Linked DNA regions of Sus scrofa. The protein of the gene in region 1 interacts with the protein of each later gene in a pairwise test. Links are inferred from orthologs where the notes say so. Each region holds a gene or a part of one and is shown in the gene's direction. Other genes may lie near its edges.

Evidence for each region.
Region 2: the proteins of BFSP2 (region 1) and ATF4 interact in binary tests that used the Homo sapiens proteins (3 or more experiments, as listed by UniProt). The link is inferred for Sus scrofa from reciprocal best matches to the Homo sapiens genes BFSP2 and ATF4.
Region 3: the proteins of BFSP2 (region 1) and SYCE1 interact in binary tests that used the Homo sapiens proteins (3 or more experiments, as listed by UniProt). The two-hybrid records come from large-scale screens. The link is inferred for Sus scrofa from reciprocal best matches to the Homo sapiens genes BFSP2 and SYCE1.

What each region holds. Positions count from the first base shown.
Region 1 is NC_010455.5:74,555,097-74,562,338, forward strand, and holds the start of BFSP2 (phakinin), read left to right. Parts: upstream 1-2,781; 5' UTR 2,782-3,262; coding exon 3,263-3,823; intron 3,824-7,242.
Region 2 is NC_010447.5:8,740,865-8,747,889, reverse strand, and holds ATF4 (cyclic AMP-dependent transcription factor ATF-4), read left to right. Parts: upstream 1-2,137; 5' UTR 2,138-3,036; intron 3,037-3,608; 5' UTR 3,609-3,700; coding exon 3,701-3,926; intron 3,927-4,022; coding exon 4,023-4,882; 3' UTR 4,883-4,926; downstream 4,927-7,025. UniProt on the Homo sapiens protein: Transcription factor that binds the cAMP response element (CRE) (consensus: 5'-GTGACGT[AC][AG]-3') and displays two biological functions, as regulator of metabolic and redox processes under normal cellular conditions, and as master transcription factor during integrated stress response (ISR).
Region 3 is NC_010456.5:141,733,059-141,740,228, reverse strand, and holds the start of SYCE1 (synaptonemal complex central element protein 1), read left to right. Parts: upstream 1-2,398; 5' UTR 2,399-4,403; coding exon 4,404-4,473; intron 4,474-4,907; exon of another isoform or gene 4,908-5,087; intron 5,088-7,170. UniProt on the Homo sapiens protein: Major component of the transverse central element of synaptonemal complexes (SCS), formed between homologous chromosomes during meiotic prophase. Requires SYCP1 in order to be incorporated into the central element.

The sequences.
Region 1 (7,242 bases):
GGACTCGTGCACAAAGCAGGAAGGGGGAGCACCTTGTCACCCCAGGAGGAGCGCCCTGAACCTTGCAAGGGCATTAGCACCAAGGCTGGAGGATAGCAGCATCCAGGCCACATCCCCCTAACATCCCACGACAGGGAGCCTCCAACTGTGCTGACTACATGACTGCTTTCCCTCCTGGCCCAGCCCTGCATCCTCCCCACTGTTCACATCTGCATTAGACACTCGTGCCTTTCTCTGGAGAGGGTTTGGATGCAGACCTCAGCCCTGGAGCTTCGGAGTGCTTGCCCTTCTTCAAGGATCCAGTGTTTACTGGGGTTCACCTTCGTTTTCTCAAAAGGCCATCCCATCATGTCCCTGAGGAATGCATTTGTAGAAGAAGCCTTGGGGTGTGGAGCTGTGATTTTCTAAACCTCTCTCCCAAGATCTTAAAAAGACAAGGCTGCCGAAGTGGGTCACTCAGGAGAAGACATCACTGTACCTGTGCTCGGCATTGCAGACTTGCCTGGGGCTCACAGTCTCCCCTCACTGCTCTCTCCATCACTGGTCACCTGCTGCCCCCAAGCCCACGGCCAGCGGGTCAGACCCTCAGAGACACAAGAGGGCCTTGCGGAGAGGGCTGCTTCTCCATTTTTCCCCAATACAACGTGGCTGGAAGAGAAGATAACTGCTTTGACACTCCCTTTCTCTAAAGGAAATATAGTTTGATAGTATATTTTGAATATAGATGTTCTTATAGTCAGACTGGGACCCAAACTTGAGTGTTGATTCATATGTTCGTGCTATCGCTGTGGTCTTCTTATCATAACTTTTTCCTTTCTTCCTACATGTTCCTTTAAAAAAAAAAAAAAAAGATGGCCTTTGAAAGTGTGTGTCCTCAGTGTCCTATGAACCTACTTAAACTGAGTTTGGTGATTGTCTCTCTTCAAAGACTTCAACCTACAAAGAAGCAGGTTACACATTGCTCTGAGATTCATTTCCCAGCATCCTGCTGTCTGGTCTCTCAACCTTATCATAATATTTCTGTCTGTGATGGCTTTTAATATATCAATGTGTGTGTATATATAGAGAAAGAAATCTGTAAAGTAAAATTTATATATAATATATGTAATCAGAGATACATATGTTATATATATATATATATATATATGTGGGATGTATGACTTATTTTTCCTTATCCACAGAATTCAGCTACCATGTATATATAAATAAACTTATTTTATTAGCCAGAGGATTAAGTTGCTAATACATTTCGCATTCTTTTAATTTTTAAATAACTTTTAAGTCTTCCTTTAGTACCGACACCACCTGTCCATCTGTTTGGTTTTTTTTTTTTTTTCATTTATTTTAACAGTATGTGGGGTTTTATCAATGTGATAAGCTAATGGATTAGCCATTTATCATCTGGGGAAAAAAAATCCCTTAGAACATGTTTTCTCCCCAGAAAAGTCATGTATCTCCAGGTCTTTGGAGACATTAGTGTCAAGATATAGCCCTCCTCATCCTCCCGTTTCCTGGACTCAGGGCTGTATCTGCAGTCAGAGAAATCCAAAGGCAACCTTGCCACTGAGTGTCACCTTTCCATAGAGTAACAGTGACTAAACATGGCACCTCTGCAGACAAATTAATCAATGGCTGGAGCCCTCCATTTAGTCTTGGACACATCCTGAGATTCCTGCAGCTCCTGGGACCTGTCAGCATCACCTGTTTTAGGTGATGTCATTATAACTCAGACTGGTGGGATACAGGGTCTTTCAGGGTGCACCAGAACTGGTGTTCACAGCAAGAAGGCCAGGGGGCACTGCCAGCCTTTACTTGATCAGGTTGATTCCTTAATCTGTTAATCACATAACAACATTTGATATTTGTGAAGTACTTTCCATGACATCTCAATTAGAAAAAGTAGAAGGAGGGAAAAAAAGGAAGAGCACATGGAGTATTTCAGTAGGGATCAGGGTTTTTATCTCTGCCTGTGTGACCTTGGGTAAGTACCCTGTTCTCTGGGTGTTGGGAGACAGAGGGAGTCCTAGATAACTTCTCATCCCAGCTCTGCTACTTTCTGGGCAGGGGCCCTTGGGAAAGTCACTGCAGCTCTCATCACACAAGGAAGGATAGCCCATCTCAGGACGTGTGATGCTACTTCTGGAATTGTGCAGTGTGCAGCCCCAGCAGCAGTGCATGTCAACCCCGAACCTACCTCCTAAGGTCGAACTAAGAAGTCAGTGAAGTAAGGTGTGGAAATCTTCACAGCACTGATGGGTTCAGCACTCACAAGCAGCCGACCCTTTCCCCTTCTCTCCTCAAGGTATGTTCTCACGTTCCAGGATCCGGGATAAATATCCATCTCTGGGTTTTGGCTACTTCATTCCTCTAGGGTTAAACTTAAATGCAGTGGTTAGGTCCATTTTGTTATCCTGGGGGCTGCAGGATACTTTTTGGCTGCCTAGGGCATGAATTAAAGCCCAGTGTGTGTCATACAGTCCTAACTTAGAGCTCCCTTAAAGATCTTACCAGAAAACCTCTTTATTTTTATTAGTTTTCTGGCAGATGGGAAAACAGAGGTGACAGGAACATCCAGAACATAATAGGTGGCCAACACACGTGAGGCCTGAATTTGCCCACAGTCCCTTGTCTAGTGCATTAGAAAGTAAGGTCTAGAGGGTGAAGCAGTGTAACCAAGGTCAAGCAGCTGATGAAGGCAGGGCTCAAGGGGAGAAAGGGGATAGGGAGCGACCTGAAGCTGCGGCAGGGGACTGAGGGAGGGTGGAGGGAGCAAGGCACTTAGTTTGTTTCTCTTGAGTCCCTGGGGCTGCCTTGGGCATGGCTGGTTCACAGCCTTCTACAGCCACGTTTCCACACCCACACCCACAGCACAGGGAAGGATGTAGAAAGCCCTGACTCCAGCCCTAAACCCCTAGAGTCAGTCCTGGCTCAGCCACTCATGACACTTGTGAGCTGAGGCCTCAGTTTACTCATCCATGAAGTAGGGCTGCTGTGTGCCTGCCTGGCCCTCTCTTAGACACTGCAATACACAGGCCCAGCTGAGCCACCCCTGCAGCCTGCACTGATCCAGCTTCCCCACCACCCACAGAAAAATCTCGGAGGTCAGGCATATGACCCTGCAGAGAATGCTTGAGCGCCTCTCTGCACACAGCCCTGGGCGGGCCGCTTCCCTTTCAGCTTGGTGAATGGTGGAAACTCATGGAAAACAGCAGACAAAGCAGCCCTGGCATAGGGAAGCTTCCAGAGAGGCCCGGTCACGGGGATGCTGGGGCTGGAAACCAAAAGGCCACTGGGCTCTGTGAACCCACTAGGCACAGCAGAGACAGAAGGGGCGATGAGCACCAGGCGAGTGGTGGTGGACGTGCCCACAGGGGCCAGCCCCAGCATGCCTCTGCAGAGGCACAGGGCTTCCTTCAGGGGAGCACAGTCACCATCCTCCCTGGAGGGCCTCCCAGCCTCCAGGACCATTGCCGTGGGTGGTCTTGTCCGAACACCCAGGGTCTATGTAGGGATGACACCCAGTGGGTCCACTGGTGGCCTGGGTGCCCGGGTGACCCGCCGGGCCCTGGGCATCAGCAGCGTCTTCCTGCAGGGCCTGCGGAGCTCAGGCCTGGCCACGGCGCCCACTCCAGGCCTGGAGAGGGACCTCAGTGGCGTCGAGGACCTGGGAGGGTGCCTGGTGGAATACATGGCCAAGGTGCACGCCCTCGAGAAAGTCAGCCAGGAGCTGGAGGCAGAGCTGCGGATGCACCTGGAGAGCAAGGCCACACGCTCCGAGAGCTGGGGTGCCCTCCGGGCCTCATGGGCCAGCAGCTGCCAGCAGGTGAGTACCAGGACAAGATGCTAACAGCTGCCTCCTGCACCGTCTCTTGGGTGGGATGGGGAGGGGGGTCAATATCAGAGAGCAAGAGTGCTGAGGCAGGGGGCAGGGAAGTGAGTGGTCTGAGGCCAGAGAGACTGACCCTACACGTTCATGCTGAAAACATTAATAACTGGAGTTCCCATCATGGCACAGCAGAAACAAATCCGACTAGGAACCATGAGGTTTCAGGTTCGATCCCTGGCCTTGCTGAGTGGGTAAGGATCCAGCGTTGCTGTGAGCTGTGGTGTGGGTTGCAGATGAGGCTCGGATCTGGCATTGCTGTGGCTCTGGTGTAGGCTGGCACCTGTTGACTCCAATTAGACCCCTAGCCCGGGAATCTCTGTATGCTGCAGGTATGGCCCTGAAAAGACAAAAGACAAAAAAAAAAAAATTAATGACAATGATAACTGTAACAGCGGCTACCATTTGCTGAGGTGTACTCAGGGCGGGGCCCAGGCAGGAACTGTGTCCTCAAGTGTTCAAAGCAATGCCATGTGATGGCTCATTCATTGATTGCATTTTTAGATGAGGTAACAGAGGCCCAAAGAAGCATTGTGCTCAAAATCATGCAGCCAGTTGGAGAGGTGGAGCTGAGATTTGAACCTGAATTTTTCCAGCTCTAAAGCTTGCATTTGTCCCATCAGCCTGGGCTGACTCTATAACCCTTGTGTTAAGAGAGGAGTTTTACAGCCATCATCCAATAGAATACCACCAAATGGATGTGGCATTGGGAACAATGGCTAAATGGAGGGGTGTTCCTGTTTCTATCTCTACAGCGCTGGCCCATGGAAATTAGAGCCACGCAGAGAATTGACAAGTTTACTACACACAGTAGTTAAAGTAAAAAGAAACAAGTGAGGTTACTATTAGTATATCATATTTAACTCTATTTTAAATGTTATTTCAACATGTAATCAATATAAAAACTATTAGTGAGATACGTCACATTCAGATAGAAATTCTGCAATGATGGAAATGTCCCTATACCTGCACCGTTGTGTCTGGTAGCCACCAGCCAGCTCTGGCTATGGAGCACTTGAAGTGCAGCTAATGAGGCTGAGAAATTGACATTTTTATTTTCATTCATTTACATTTAAATAGCCACAGGTGGCCGTGGTTACCTTATTAACCAGGGCAGGGCACAGAGGCTTCCTCTCTGTCCCTTGTTTGGTCAGGACCTGCTCTCCTGGTAATTCTGCAGGGCGCTGAACTCATCTGTCACATCTGGCCTGTAGCCTGTGGTTCTGACACTGGGGCAGCAGTCAGCTCTGCACATTTCATCTCATCTGTCTCCTTTCCCCTCCTCCCACAAATGCTGGCCTTGGCATCCCTCTGAGCTAAATCAGCCTCTAGCCTGGCCAGGAACTGCCAGCTCAGACCCCTTTCACCTGGGGGCCCAGCATACAGCCCCCAGAGAGTCACAGACTTTCATTCGTGTGTGGGTGGGTAATGCTGGTCAGACACACTCATGAGCTTCCCATTTGCCCCTCCTGCCTCCCACTTCACCCCAGGATGCTTCTCCTCCCCTGCCAGCTGGTGCCAGCTACCGGCACTACACATATGACACCCAACACTGTTCTCTCGGCTCTCCCCCAGAGCTGCTGTTCTGCCTACATCTATCTGGGCTGTGAGGAGAGCCATCTCAGAGCAGTCCACGGCCTTAGACCCAGCAAGTCAAGCAGCCATTCCTCTAGTGTTCTCTCCAACAGTGCAGATTCCAAATATGCATGTCCTGTAAGCCACCAGAACACCCCTAGATAGTCCAATATCTCAGCATCTGCCAGGCAATTTCATGCACTCAGATGCTACACAGACTTTTCATGAGACGTCAGGTGTCCCAATTTGTAGGTCAAAAAGTATGGCCACAAAATAGTCTGTTCTGTCCTGGTCTGGATCCAGAGGCTTAGGCAACTTACCCAACTTCCCTGAGCCTCAGTTTCCTTATCTGTAAAATAGGTATAATAATGCCATGGATATTCCAACAAATCCATTGATAACTAAATTGTATAGGTCCTGCCTGAAGGTAGACCACAGACTAGAAAAACACACAATGAGAGCAGTATAGGTCCAATGCTATGGGCTGAACATCAAGATATCCTCCAAATGAGAGTCATTTTCCTTTTTTTCTTTTTTTTTTCTTCAAACATGAACTTGAAGATACAGCTAGACCAGCCTATAAAATGGAGTTACTTCTGTATCACACGGCCCAGCTCCAACCATGTTTAGCTCTGTTCCATCAAAAAGGACAAAAGAAAATCCTAAATATCTGGGATATACACATGATTTTTCTAATGTTGCTGTTGCACAATTAACCCATGCAGGGTACCCAACTCTGGCCTCCACACAGGCTGTGAGATGGCTTTGCTGGTAGCTGCTCTCCACCCAGTCACCAGAATGATCTTTCGGAGACATGAGCTCTGACTGCACTGTCCCTGCCCCCAAACCCTCTGGGTTCCTCCTACCAGAGAGGACACAATCCATGACCCTGCGCTGAGTCCACAAGGCCCTTCTGAAGCCACCTCTGGCCCTGCCATACCACCCACTTGGGAGGCCGTGAATATACCATGTGCCCTGGCCTCACTGCTCCTCTGAGCTGCCTTCCCACTCTTTCCATGACCTCGTGACTGCCTGTACACACATCCACTGTGGCAGCTACCAGTGGTCCTTGTCATTTGCATGACTCGGCCTTCACACTCCAGGTTCACTTGAGCAAGTGAAAAGGGCATAAACTGGGAATCAAGGGATCTTGCATTTGGATGTTGGCTCTGCTGCCTACTAGCTGGGTGGCTTTGTATCAGTTACTTAACTTCTCTGAGATTGTTTCTTCATTTGCAGTTTGGGGATCACTATATGTGCTGTGGGGGGCTATGAAGGGGGTTCACTGAATTTTATGTACTAGGTGAAATCAGAGGCTAACAACCTAGAAAGGCAGCTTCAGTCTCAACACTGCAGATACCTATGGCCACGTACGCCATCAATACTCAACACTGAGTGGGCCCTCCCTTCAGATCCTGGTTCTGCCATGTATGTGGACCAACCACTCATCTGCTCCATGTCTCCCTCTCCCCATCTTCGAAATGGACGACCACCTTTCAAGGCCCCTGTGAGCATGAAATAAGATGTGAAAAGGAGCTGTAGGAACTGTGAAGTGTTGCAACATCTTCAATCAGAGCACCTGTCCCCTAGGGGATAGACCTCAGGCCAAGGGCTTACTATGGGGGGCCATGGTCCCTTCTTTCTGCCTCCCCCCAAATAGTGTCCTTCACCCACAAGCCTCGGGGAGACAGCTCCCTCCTAAGCCTATCTGTACCCAGACAGTGGGCCCAGCTTCCCACTGGAGAATGGGGTCCCACTGCCTCCTGGGGGGTCTGGTCATGGGG
Region 2 (7,025 bases), on another chromosome or scaffold:
TAGAACTCTGCCCCTTGTGCTGAAGCTCAAGGCCAAAGAGAATGGTAAGAAACACTTCAGACTAGAGCTGTGAGAAGTAGCCCTCTGAAATTTTTTTTGTCTTTGGGTGGAGGGCAGGCCCATAGCCTGCAGAAGTTCCCAGGCCAGGCCCAGGATCAAACCTGCACAGCAGCAGTGAGCTGAGCCACAGCTGTGACAACGCCAGATCCTTAACCTGCTGAGCCTCCAGATGCTGCTGATTCTAGGTGGCCAAATAACAAGAGATGTGGGGTCTGGAGTTAACTGCATGCAGCTTGTTTACCTTTTCCTTCTGATCGCCTCATAATCTGTATTTTCTTGGCCCCTGCAACCAAGTCCACAACCTGCCTCCCAGTCACTAATCTGCCCTTCAGTGAGCAGTTGATGTGTTTAGCTGATAGATTTGGAATCAGTCATCAGTCTTCCTTGTTTTGTCCATATAGAAGCAGCTTAGCCCCAAGACCCAGAAAACTACTATCCTTTTTCTCCTTGAGGGAGGAAATAAAGCTGGGGGACACGTTGCCCTTCCACAACCTGGAAAGAAAAGAAACGTCTCCTTTCCAACAGCTTTGACTCGTGTGTGTGGTGGGAAATAGTTTCCTACGTGAGTGGTACTGGTGCATCAGAGTGCTTGCTTGGGGTCTCCATAATAGAACGGATGGGGTTATTCCACTCCTACGGTGTCCAATTGGGGCAGTGTTACTTTACTTCTTAAGCATCTGCATGGACATCCATCAAGAGGCACTGACAAGTCTCCCATACAGCAGAGAGGAGGACATGCCCCGTGGCTCCTTAATGACACCTTTGGAAGACTTGGGTAGTGGCTCGGGGGTAGTGGCTCGGGATTCTTACTGTCTTTGCACCAAAAGACCAGATGCCTTGTACATGTTTCCAGAGAATTGAGATTCCCCAAGGGGAAAGAAAAACCATACCTAGTATCCAGTATGCTTTCCTAGACCAGCTGTTTATAGTTGTTGATTTCATCTCAGTAAATAACAGTCCTCTGAGGGAGCAGGATATGATGGGGATGGGAGGTGGGTTAGAAGACCTGCGTTCTAGTCACAGGAGTAATGGCAACCATTTATCCAGCACTTACCAGGTACCAGGCGCACGGCTCAGTGCTGTGAATATATTATCTTAACTTCATTCTAAGGATGAGGATACCCATCATTAGCCTCGTTTTACAGATCAGGAAACGAAGACTCAGTGGGGGTAAGTCACTTAACCAGAATGTCTCCACTAATAAATGGGAAAGCCAAGATTTTTTGGAATTGGCCCTTAAATCTGTCATAACTCCTACCCCATACTGCCCACACCAGGCAAGACATGTCATGCCTTTAGTCATCAGCTTACCACTGTAAAGAAATGGTTGGGCTAGACTGACTCAAATCAATGAATGGTTAGTTGTTATGTAGGAAGTGCCTGACCAATTTTTGACCTCACTGTCCTCATAGAAATAATATTTGTAGGGCCCACTGAAATGAAGGGGAGTGGAAACTCAAGGTTTCCCTACAGGGCCTGATTGGAGGACTGGAAGATGGTGAAAGAGCTTTCTCCTAGCTCTTGACAGTTCCCCAGTAGAGAGGGCAAGTTACTGGCCCTAACCTGGACTGTGGCCTCCAAACACACAAATTCCCCTAAGTGGGCAGGTCTGATCAAGCACCCAGGCAGTAGGACTTGCTGGGAAGTGGTTATGCCGCGGAGTTACAGAGTTGGTAAATAATTGAAACTACCCTAGAGTGAGAAAGAGCAGCTAAATAAAATACCTCATTTTTAGGGGAAGTGAAACTACATAAACTGAAAGAAGTTCCCCTGTCATAGGTTTCATTCTTTAACATAAAAGGAAACTTGTATTTTAGCAGAATGGATATGTAAAAATACAATTGTTTAGACCACAGGATTATGGATTTCCTCCACTCGACTCGCCTCTACAGAGTTGAGTCAGGACGCAGAGCAGGCCTTTGATGGTAGGTGGATCTCAGCTGAGGTCATCAGTCTCCCCTTCCAGTTACTGAAGGGTTCACACGTCCTCAGTATTCTGCAAGTGTGTGCAAGTGAAAACAGACGAAATAACATTTACTCTTGACTAGTTTCACATTCGGGCCTAAACCCGGTCCCTAGTTCGGAGCTTCTCCAAGGGCGGCAGGAAAGGACCACGAGGATTCGGACCTAACGCCACTATTTGGATCTGGGCCAGGGCTGCCCGGGGCAATCAAGGCCAGCTGGGTGGGCGGGGCTGAGGGAGCCTTTGCAGAGCGGCGCTACGGCGAGCAGGACGCCGGGGCCCGGCGGCGGGAACCTCACCCACCTTCCCGCGCAGATCAGGGGCTCCCTCGCTGAACAACCCGCCCGCCTCGGAGCCTGAGCCAATAGAAACTCGATGTATATATGACTCACCATGCCTAACCAATCATTTCGACGCGCGCTCTCCGCCAGTAGCTCGCGCGATAACCAGGAGACCTCGTACTTCACAATAAAAGCCCTTCTTGGGGTGAAAGACTCGTCTCCGCCTCTCGGGCTAGCACCGGAAGTAGCTGTGCAAGATCCTTCCGCGCATCCCGGCAGCGGACGGTGGTGATCCTTAGATCTCAAAAGCCTTGTAAAGTAGTGCGCCCTTTTTTGAGGCTGTAAATAAAAGTAACTCATTTGGTCCTCACAGTTTCGCCCTCGACATAAAAGTCAGAGACTGGAAATGGTAGGGGCGTCGGTTAAATGAAAGCGCGTGGGTGGGAGGCGCTGGTCACGTGACCTAGGCGGAAGAATATTCTCTGTGATGCGTCCCACAGAGGCAGAGTCTATAAAGGACCCGCGCTCGGCGAACCGCCGCCATTTCTTTTCCTCTCCGCTGTAGATGTAGTCCTTTTCTGCGAGTGGGCGCTTTTCTTCCTCCGCTCCCGCAGGGTCCGCGGCCGCCATGGCGTATTAGAGGCAGCAGTGCCTGCGGCAGCATTGGCCTTTGCAGCGGCGGCAGCAGCACCAGGCTCTGCAGCGGCACCCCCCAGCGGCTTAAGCCATGGCGTAAGTACCGGGGCCCGACGCTCTGGGCCGTGTCCCCCCGGGTCGGTGAAGGGTTCTTGTCTGATGCTGGGGCGCGGTCCGGCGGCGTCGCGGAGGGGGAAGCGGTTTTACGAGCGCCCGGGACGCGTGGCCGCTGATGGGGTGACGCCGAAGCGCCAGCGCCCCTGGGTCGAGAGGCCGCTGCGCTGTTCGGGCGTGGGGCGAAGTCCTCGGTACCTCCGGCCCCGGCCGGGGGGCCGGGGCTCCCCCTGGGGCTCCACGAAACGTGGCAGCAGCCAAGATGGCGGCGGGGCAGGGCGGCGGCCGCGGCGTGAGTCACGGGCGGGCGTGGGCGGGGCCGGACTCGGCCGGGAGGACCGGGCGCCTTCCTCTGGTGGCGGGTCGGGGAACGGCCGGGCGTCCATCTTGCGCCGCCAGGCGGACGCGGGGAAGGTTGGCAGCCGGGGCCAGCGGCCCCCAAGTCTCAACAACCACACGGGGTCGGGATTTGGCCGTCCTGCCCCGGGGGTGGAGAGGCGAAAGGCTCAGACCAGCTGTTCTCTAATGGGGCTTGGTTTCTGGTTCCTGTTAAGGCTTCTCACGGCATTCAGCAGCAGCGTTGCTGTAACCGACAAAGACACCTTCGAATTAAGCACATTCCTCGATTCCATCAAAACTCCGCAACATGGCCGAGATGAGCTTCCTGAGCAGCGAGGTGTTGGTGGGGGACTTGATGTCCCCCTTCGACCCGTCGGGTTTGGGGGCTGAAGAGAGCTTAGGGCTCTTAGACGAATATCTGGAGGTGGCCAAGCACTTCAAACCTCATGGGTTCTCCGGCGACAAAGCTAAGGCGGGCTCCTCCGAATGGCTGGCTGTGGATGGGTTGGTCAGTGCCTCAGACAACAGCAAGGGTGAGTGGGCTTTTCCCTGCCGGTGGGGTCTGGTGATAAAGCCTTGCTGCCGCGTGCATCTGACTCTGGGTTCCGTCCCTCTTAAATCTCTTGCAGAGGATGCTTTCTCCGGGACAGACTGGATGGTGGAGAAAATGGATCTGAAGGAGTTCGACTTCGATGCCCTGTTGGGTATAGATGACCTGGAAACCATGCCAGATGAGCTTTTGGCCACGTTGGATGACACATGTGATCTCTTTGACCCCCCACTCCAGGAGCCCCCGCAGATAGTGAACCCAATTGGCCATCTCCCAGAAAGTTTACCAACAACTGACCAGGTTGCCCCCTTTACGTTCTTGCAAACTCTTCCCCTTTCCCCAGGGGCCCTGTCTTCCACTCCAGATAATTCCTTTAGTTTAGAGATACAGGGTGAAGTGGAAATCTCGGAAGGAGATAGGAAGCCAGACTCCACTACTTACATTACCTTGATTCCTCAATGCATAAAGGAAGAGGATGCCCCCTCAGATAATGACAGTGGCATCTGTATGAGCCCTGACTCCTATCTGGGCTCTCCCCAGCACAGTCCCTCCACCTCCAGGGCCTCTCCAAGTAGGAGCTTGCTCTCTCCCGGGGCCCCTTGTGGTTCTGTCCGGCCCAAACCCTATGATCCTCCTGGAGAGAAGGTGGTAGCAGCAAAAGTAAAGGGTGAGAAACTAGATAAGAAGCTGAAGAAGATGGAGCAGAACAAGACAGCAGCCACTCGGTACCGCCAGAAGAAGAGGGCAGAGCAGGAGGCCCTCACTGGCGAATGTAAAGAGCTGGAAAAGAAGAACGAAGCTCTGAAAGAGAAGGCAGATTCCTTGGCCAAGGAGATTCAGTATCTCAAAGATCTGATAGAAGAGGTCCGCAAGGCACGGGGAAGAAACGCGCCCCCTAGCTGCCGGGCAGGGGTGTGCATGTGCTTGTACATAGGCTAGGGCTTTAGCTGTGTGTTGCAATAAATTATTTTGTAGTGAACGTACTGCTGATGACTGATTTCTTCAGATAAATGTTCCAGTCAATCCCCCCTGGAGCCACTTTTCTCACCAGGGTCAGAAGTAAAGTGCAAACGCTCCGTAATTCCCTCTGCCTCAACTCAGCAGACAATGGGGTGGGGGGGCAGGAGGAGGGGGTGTGGTGAGTTGAGAGCAGCCCTGGAAGTGACCTGCCCTCTTTGATGAGGCTCATGCCAGTCATTCATTGCCAATCTGGGTGACCCACTCTGGCTTAGAAGGAAGCCCTTTTGGGTTGCTGTGAGGGGCAGTGCAGGTGAGGGTGTCTGAAGCCAGAGTATGTGTGCATGCCTCTCCACAGGTCCCTGCAGCCAAGTCCTCCCCAGACCCAAAAGACGGGAGGCAGGGGCCTCTGCCGTTCACTTCCTGTGCCCCAGTGAGCTCACCTGGCCTCAGCTTCAGCACTTGCTGTTTTGCAAGGGTTTCCCGTTGGTTCCTCAACTCCTGCAAGGTTCCAGTGTCACTCCCAAGGCCATCCAAAGTGACTGCTGGTGTTCCGCCCCTCACCTTTCCCGCTCATTTGCCCCCCCATGGTCCTTTCTCCAGTTGACGTGTATACATGTTTATTTCCTGCTCTGACACCCAGTTTTGCAGTCACTTCGTGCCCTGATCTCCAAGACCTGCAGCAGTGCCTGAGGAAGAAATTGCAGCTTTATAACCATTTCCTGAGCGTTCCGAGGCACGGCTATGAATGTATGTTTACTGGAGTGAGACCCAGCCCCCTGCACGTGGAGCCCTGTGGGCTGATAAAGGGCAGAGGCGGGCTGGGTCTTACCGCTGGTGGCGGGGGTGGAGGTGGGGGTGCTCCTGGTCCATCGCCAGGCCCCTGCTGCCTTTCTGAGGACGCAGGTCTTGGAGGTCGGGAAATAGCCTTCATGTCTCTGCAAAGATTCATGCGCATCCACTGTGTGCTAGACCCTTTTGAGGGCTGGGGATTCAGTGGTGAGAACACACATCTCTGCTGTCCTTTCTGCGAGGGAGACGGCCAGTGAACAGACCTGACGGGACAGCAGGAGGGAGGACCTGCTCAGGACGCACTTTCGGGCCGGGAGGAGAGGCCTGGGGTGGAGCGTGTGAACTGAGCGTCAGCTGAGTGACTTGGGGAGCCTCGGGGGCGGGAGGGACAAGCTGGCTTCTGCTCGAGAAGCCTCGCTCTGGCGGGGCTCAGCGTGGGCAGCAGAGGCCAGCTGAGCCGGTCAGTCAGCGGGCTTGGAATCGGGGTGTGAGAAAGGAGACGGATGCCAGAAAAAGCAGAAGGCTGGAGCTTCCGTTTCCTGAGACGACCGGGGCGGGGGGGGGTTTGCGGTTTCCAGGGCAGGATCAGGGTTTTCATGTCAATTCCGGTGCTGGCAGAAGGTGCACCAGTCCTGCCCAGGTACAGGTGGGGATGGCAAGTAGCCCAGGGTGGGGGAGGCAGGTGGAGCGTCAGCTCCAGAGTCAGGGCTGTCCGTCCAAGGCTGGGAGGTTATGACAGGCTGCCTGGAGCAAAGGGTGCCTGTGCTGGGGTTTTTTCCCTCCTTTGGCTGCACCCAAGGCACACAGAAATTCCTGGGCCAGGGATCGAACGGGTGCAACCTCTGTAAACAGCCACCGCCACCAGAGACTCCCTGAGCTGGGCTTTGAAGGCTGGGGAGAGTTACGGATGTAGAGCATGGGGAGAGCGCCCCAAGAAAGCCAGCCGGACCGGCTCAGAGGTGGGAAGGAGTGGGCACAGTCCCGCCCATCCCGCCACGAGGGCTCCAGGCCCCAGCCCTGCTAGGGGAGGACGCCTGATGAGGACCCACCCAGCTTCCACTTCAGCCTGAGTTTAGCCTTTTGTCCACACTGCCTCCCCTCAGGCCTACAGAGCAGACCTGTCACTGGGCGTCCGTCAAGTCCCACTGCAGGCAAGTGGCAGTCCTGCCCCGCTCCCGCTCGGGGTCTCAGCCAGCCCGTCCACTCACGGAGGCCCAGTTGAGTGTGGATGACTCAAGCAGCCCCTTCATCCCTGTGGAAGACACAGGAAGCCTTGGTTGGGGTTCTGTCAGCTCGGCCAGCTTTGCTCAGCCTGGTGCACATGTCAGCTGCC
Region 3 (7,170 bases), on another chromosome or scaffold:
AAGAGAAAAACAAATACCATATGATATCACCTATATCTGAAATCTAACAAATGGTAAAAATAAACCTTTTCATAGAAAAGAAACCCATGGAATTGAAGAACAGACTTGTCAAAGGGGAGGGGGAGGGAGTGGGGATGACTGGGAGTTGGGGGTTCATAGATGCCAACTATGGCATCTGGAGTGGGTAAGCAATGAGATCCTGCTGCATAGCACAGGCAGTGCTATCTAGTCACCTGTGATGGAACATGATGGAGGATAAATGGACAAAAAGGATGTGTGGATAGAGATGTCAGCCTGGGTCACTTGGCTATAGGGTAGACTGAGCACTGCAAGTCAACTACAATGGGAAAGGAATCATTTTAAAAAAAAAATCACAATTACCAGCTGAGGGCTCACTAGAGACGGTATCTGGGTCCAGACTCCTGCCTCTCAAGAAAAAACAGGCCATCTGACCCCATCGAAACTGTCAAGCTTTCTCACTGCTGTGACACACGACCAGGCTGCAAATCCACATCAAATGCTGAAGGAAACACCCCTGTGTCCTTGCCTGACCTGAGGCATCTTGGGCCAGAGAGTCACAGGTGCCTGGAAAACAATCCCGAATTTCTGGGTGCTGCTGAGGCTTCCGACAAATGCATCATCAGCCACATCTCTGAGCCTGGACCCTGCCGCCTTGGAGCTGCACATGGGTCCGCAGGAAGGTACTCTGACGCCGTCTTGTGGACATCGGCCCTAACAGCAGCTCTCGTGCCTGCCTTCCTCCTGTCTGCTCAGCTCTCCTGGGGCTGCACTGGAGTTGGGCAAGCCTGCGGCTTTCCCTTGAGACTTCCTCTCCCTCTGAACGCCATGAAGTGCCCTAGGAAGTGGGGGATTTCTCTCTCAAAATCTCTCGGGGCACTCAGCCCAACTTACCCAAGGCTATTGTGTCCACTCTGCTGTAACCCTAACCCCACCCACTGTGCTGTGGGAGCCTTTTTTCTTCCTTCACATAATAATTACCTGGAGTGATTATCTCTGGCGTATGAATTTATTAATTTCTTACATCTTCATTGATTTATTCTCTGATTTATTTTTCTGGACCCACTTGTGGCATGCAGATATTGTCTGGCCAGGAACTGAATCCACCCCAGGGCTGTTACTACCCCAGGCTCGTACACACAACCCTCTGCCACCACAAGCATCATATCGGAAGAGCCTTTTTCATGCCTTTCTCTGTCAATTCACTTAGCTACTATGTAGGGATATCTATATGTATGCACTGACTTCATCAATTTATCGCCTTCTTCAAAATATTTACTTTTCTTGATTCATTTACTTGGGTGCCACCTGCAACATCAGGGAGTTGCCCAGTCAGGGTTTGATCTCCCTATGCAACTCTCACCATAGCCACAGACTCTTAAGGAAGCCAGCCACGAGGGAACTCTCTGAGAGCTTTCTTGGTATCAATCAACCCTGCTTAATTCATCAGACCTGGGTTCGGTCAGGCCTCCTTCCCTGGAGCGGTCACTGTAAAGGGAGACTCGTGTGGCAAGGCAAGAAAGACATTTCACTAGGTCTCATGAGCAGAAAAAGCACAGGGATTAGCACAACCACCCACCACAATGCCACCGAAGTCCACCATCCATTCATCAGCACCAGCCTCTATCCAGAGAGCTAAACCCTTGGCAGTCAGGGGCTTGAAAATGGACAGTTCATGATTCAAAACAGAGGCTGTGTGGGTTCTGGCTCCTGGCCTGGAGGAACACAAGGCGCTCTGAAACCCAGTGGATCACTCAAGCATTATAAACACACTGCCACCTGGCCAGGCAGCAAATGCACACACATTAAATGCTAAAAGGACAGCTGTGTGCTCTGCCTGACGTGAGGCAACTTAGAGCAGAGAGTCCCAGATACCTGGAAAACAACCCCAGATCTCTGGGTGCTGGCTGGGGTTTCCCACAAACACATCATCAACCCCAACGCTGAGCCCCGACATGCAGCCTTGGAGCTTGCCCTTGGGTCTGGAAAGTACCCTGGCACCGTCTTGTGGTCATCTGCACTAACAGCAACTCTCAGGTGTTCGTCCTCCCTCTGGCTGAGCAGCCCCCGGGGGCAGCTTTGGCCTTGGGCAACACACTGGTTGGATTGCCTTCCTCTGCTTTCTTGAAATATCAAGAAGGGCCCTACCAAGTGGGCTATTTCTCTCTCAAAGGCTTTCAGAGCCCTGAGGCCACCCTACCCGATGCCACAGCTTTTAAACACTCAGCTCCCGACCCATCATGTGCTGACAGCCTTCTTCAATTTTTCATATATTCACGCAGGTGTGTGTTTTTGAATATATTTGTTTACATATGTAATTATTGACTTATTTTCTTACCTTTCCAACTATTATTCATTAGCTCATAGGTCTTTCTTCCTTTGTTCTACCTTTCTTACATTTTTTTCTTTCACTGGAGTGACTTACCCTACTGTATGGAGCCCAGTGGCTCCCAAATGTCGATTCCTTGCTCCAACCGCCAAGAGCTGGGGCAGCCAGGGCCACTTTAGGGAATTTTGAAAGGAAGATGCTCAGGACAAGTGGTCCTGGCAGCTGCTAGGAACTCACCAGAAAACTCCCCAACTGGGGCCAGCTGGTCACAAACAGCAAGGCTCCTGGCTGGCTCACCAAAACCTGTTGCCGAACCCAAGTTTGCTCTGCTCACTGTACTGCTCAGGCCAATGAATTCTAAGAAGAGTTGTTGGGGCGATGCATAGCTACTTTAATTAGAAAGCTAGCAGATGGAGAAGACGGCAGGCTAGTGTCTTGAGACTTGCCTCAGTCTTAATTCAGGCTCTTTTAATACTGAGAAAGGGGAGGGGCAGGGGCCAATGGTCAGCCACTGTCACTTGCTGGGGGGACAGGCTCACTACAATGCTGACCAATGGCTGAAGAGGACCACTAAATGTCGCTCACTAATGGTTGCTCACTTACACTCTGACCCCAGCCCCTTTATCCCTGACTCTAACCTCTAAGGCCAGGCAGTCTGTACAACAGGATGGGTTAGGGTTTTAAGGGTCACTTGAACCTTTGCTCTACCCTTATCTTGCACAGGTCAGTTCACCATCAAAGAAGTAGCCCCAGTAACATGGAGATTATGGCCCACTTTGCCAGTTTGGATTGGTAGTCCATGACTTGAACAACCGTCAAGGGTGGCAATGGTCATGGGCTCAGCTACTAATTCCTACTCCTTTCCCTGACCTTGATACTGACCCTAAAAATGAAAGGTGACTCTCGTCTGACATTGACTCTTGACCCTTTCCCTGACCCTCGTCTCCTACTCAGACTCTTACTTTGATGCTGAGACCAGCTCAGTGAGTGGAGGTGAAGGACGGGTGCTGCAAAGCTTAAGAAATGTTCATCGGAAACAAAGAAAGACACAGAGACAGGGTACAGTTAAAGATGGGACCAGGGGACGCAAGACCTCATGCGTCAAGAGCCCTGAATGCCGACGCCTCATCGTCTTTATTATGCTCTCAGGAAGGTAAACAATGTGAGAAAATAGACACCCCAAGGCCCTCGGCCTCCAGTCACCTTGAATTTGAACTCCGACCTTTACTCTAAAGGGCATCAATGAGGCTGGTGTTAGCTATCTAGGCATAACATCTTGAGGAACAATCAGTGTTTTCTCAAGCAGTTTTCTGACTTGAGCTGACCCGGTTTTCCAAAGTCAACACCTTGTCCTCTCAGTTAATGCCTAACTTGCTGAGCCAGGTCCCTCTAGCCCCTTATGGTTTCCTTGGGGTTTAGAAAACACATCCGGAAGATTTCTCCCCACACCTTGAGCCTTAATCCTAATGCTTACTCTGTGACTTTTCGTAACCTTATCCCTATCGAGGACGCTTAAGTCAGCTCTAGGGCAGGGCTTTGCACAGGTAGCACTCAAAACTGCTCCTCACACCTGGTTGTTCCTGCCACCTGGAATCCTGAGCAACAGGTGAGGAAAACGTGACGCTGGAGGTTTTGGAACAGGATTTGCGCACGACGAGGCCAACTCACCGCCCTGCTGTAAAGCACCCAGGACGCGTCTGAGGGAAAACCGGAAATTCCTCTTCCGGGTGCAGAGACAGGAATGAACTGAGACCCCCACGCCAAGCACTGGCACTGTCCCCGAAGCGCGGGCGGCGTCCCCTGGGACGCACCCTCAGGAGACCGCCACACGCCCGCAGGCCCCTGGCTCCTCCATCGACCAAGCGCAAACCCAAGCGCACGCGACCCTCGCCTGCTCTGCGCAGAGTCAGGGCCAGACGCTCAAGCATGCGCACTGGCGCGAGCCCACGGTCTCCCCGCGGCCCCCGCTCGAGGAAACGGGCATTGCGCAGGCGCACAGAGGACGCCCCGCCCCCGGCGCGGCGCCAGACGCCGGGAGCCAGCGACCTGAGAGGAGATGGCGGGGCGGCCGGGGCCTTCGAGCGAGGAGTCCGCGGGAGCCCTGGGCCGCGCTGGCGAGGCAGGAGGTAGCTGGGCCCGGTGGCGGCCTCTGACCCGGCCTCCGGAGGGAGCCAGGCTGCCAGGGGCCGGGCGGGGAGCGCGTGCGGGCGCCTCTTCCTCAGGGCGGGGTCGGTCGTGAGGAAAAACGACTGTCGCCCCGCTGGAAGGGTCTGGGCGGCGCTACCCGGAGCGCTCCGGGGGACTCACCCGCAGGCCTCGCCTGACCTTCGCGCACTTCCCGTTGGCCTGGTCTGTCCACCCCGTTTGCTCAAGTAGCTCAGAGGAGTCAGGGGACACGGTTTCGATCTGGTCCCGGGGCCCCCACACCCGTGGGCCCGCGTCGGTCCCGTCACTCGTCCCACAGCCCGCACACATCTGCCTTCCCAGCTGCCCCGTAGTGGTTCTCCTCGGGGGAGTTTTTCCCCCGGACGAGGGTCCGGACGGCTCCACACGGCATTACCTTTTCTTTCGTCTTGACACTGATCCGCCGCGTGTTGGCTCCCACCTCACCAGGAAGCGGGTGGGGGAGCACGGCAGCTCCTTCAGTTAAAAAGTTCTGCAGGGACAGCCTGGGGTAGAGGAGAGATGAACAGTGTTCCTTAGACGTTTTCGCCCCGGTGTTTCACAGAACCGGAGGGACCTGTACAAGGAACACCCATCCCTCAGCTTGTTTACTCTCTGCTCTCCTTGGCTCACCCACCTCCCTCCTTAAGATTCAATCATGAACATGTCTTGGTGACACTTTCAGACCTGCCGTTACCAGTGCAGCTTTGGTACATTGGTAAGGGCTCCATAACGTTTTTATAAAATAAAGGTCTAAGTAATTAAAGAAACAGCACAGAAAGCTTGATTGGAGCACAGTGTGGCACCTGGTGACAACTCTCAGCTAAGGACAAAGAAAAACAGGGCAGATGCATATAGTTCCCTTTTCTTAAGCACCTACCGTGGCCACCACTGTACTAAAGAAACCTCTTAGTATTGCTCTTCCAAATTTCTCAAATAAGACAACATATTTAGATGAATGTTTAATCAGTTTCACCAGTGTCTTATAACTGGTGAAATACCATATCCCATGTGGCTTAGAAACTTAGGAATTTTACAACTTCACTCTTTCCTGGAGGATCACACAAAACATATAGATGCATGGACTACGTAGTCACTGGAGCCTAGATGGCGGTAGGAAAACATGGGGAGGGAACAGCTAAATCCCGAGGTATTTCTACTGGGAAATACCTGTAGAGTGGATTTCTGAAATGAGGAAGAAATGGAATTAAAATTAAGGTAACTATGTCAACTTTTAAATTATTAGATGTATTTACACTGATACAGCATGATTTTCAAAAAGGATATTTTTATGAGAGAAAAGCAAGAAAAATTATAATTATAGCACTATGTAGGTTGCACAGAAAGATGTCTGGAGGCTGCTTTCCTAATTGATGGCTCCAAGGAAGGGACTTGGATTTTGAGGGCAATGCAGAGGTAAAGGAACATTTTTAACCTTAATATTTGTATTTTCTACTAAGAATATGTAATTAATACTAGTGGAAATTTAAAATGTAAAAGTAGGGGACATTTTTAAAATGCCATTTGAGGATTGTATGTTAATATCTATCACTGTTGTTCTCTCAGTTTTAATTGTTATACTGAGGTTATTACTATATAGGAGAGTGTCCCTGTACTTTAGAACTTCACAACAGAATATTCGGGGTAATGAAGCATTGTATCTGCAACTCATTCTCAAGGTTCAGAAAGAGTAGCAAATGGAAGATTTGGGATGAAGGGCATAAAGGAGCTGTATGTCCTATTCTTAAACTTTATTATGGAAAAATTTAGGCATATGCAAGAATGCACAGGCACATGAAAAGATGCTGAACATTGCTAATATAGAAAGAGAAAACTACAATGAGGTATCACCTCACACTAGTAAGAATGTCTATCATAGTCTACAAATAAATGCTGGAGAGGGTGTGGAAAAAAGGAACCCTTCTACACTGTTGGTGGGAATATAAATTGGTGCAGTCACTATGGAGAACAGTAGAGAGGTTCCTTAAAAAACTATAAATATGGTTACCATATGATCCAACAGTCCCACTCCTAGGCATGTATCTGGAAAAAAATAAAACTAATTTGAAATGGTATATGCACCCCAGGGTCACAGCAGTACTTTTTACAGTAGCCAAGACATGGAAGCAACCTAAATGTCCATGGACAGATAACTGGATAAAGAAGAGGTGGTGCATATATATACATGACTGAATAATACTCAGCCATAAAAAGAATGAAATAATGGCATTTCCAGCAAAATGGATGGACCTAGAGGTAATCATACTAAATGAAGTAAATCAGACAAAGACAAATATCACCTATGTGTGGAATCTAAAACGATGATACAAATGAACTTATTTACAAACCAGAAATAGACTCACAGACATAGAAAACAAACTTACGGTTACCAAAGGGGAGAGGGGGAATGGAGGGATACATTAGGACTGAGATTAACTGATACACACTACTAAATATAAAACCTAAACAACAAGGACCTGATGTATGGCACAAGGAACTATATGCAATATCTTGTAATCTGTAATGGAAAATAATCTGAAAAAGAATATATATATTCTTCTATAGTGTATTTGATTGAATCAAGATGCAAATATGATCCATTTATCGAGATTGGGTGATAGGTGTCTTTAATCTCTTTTTGTATGTAAGGGTCTTCCTTT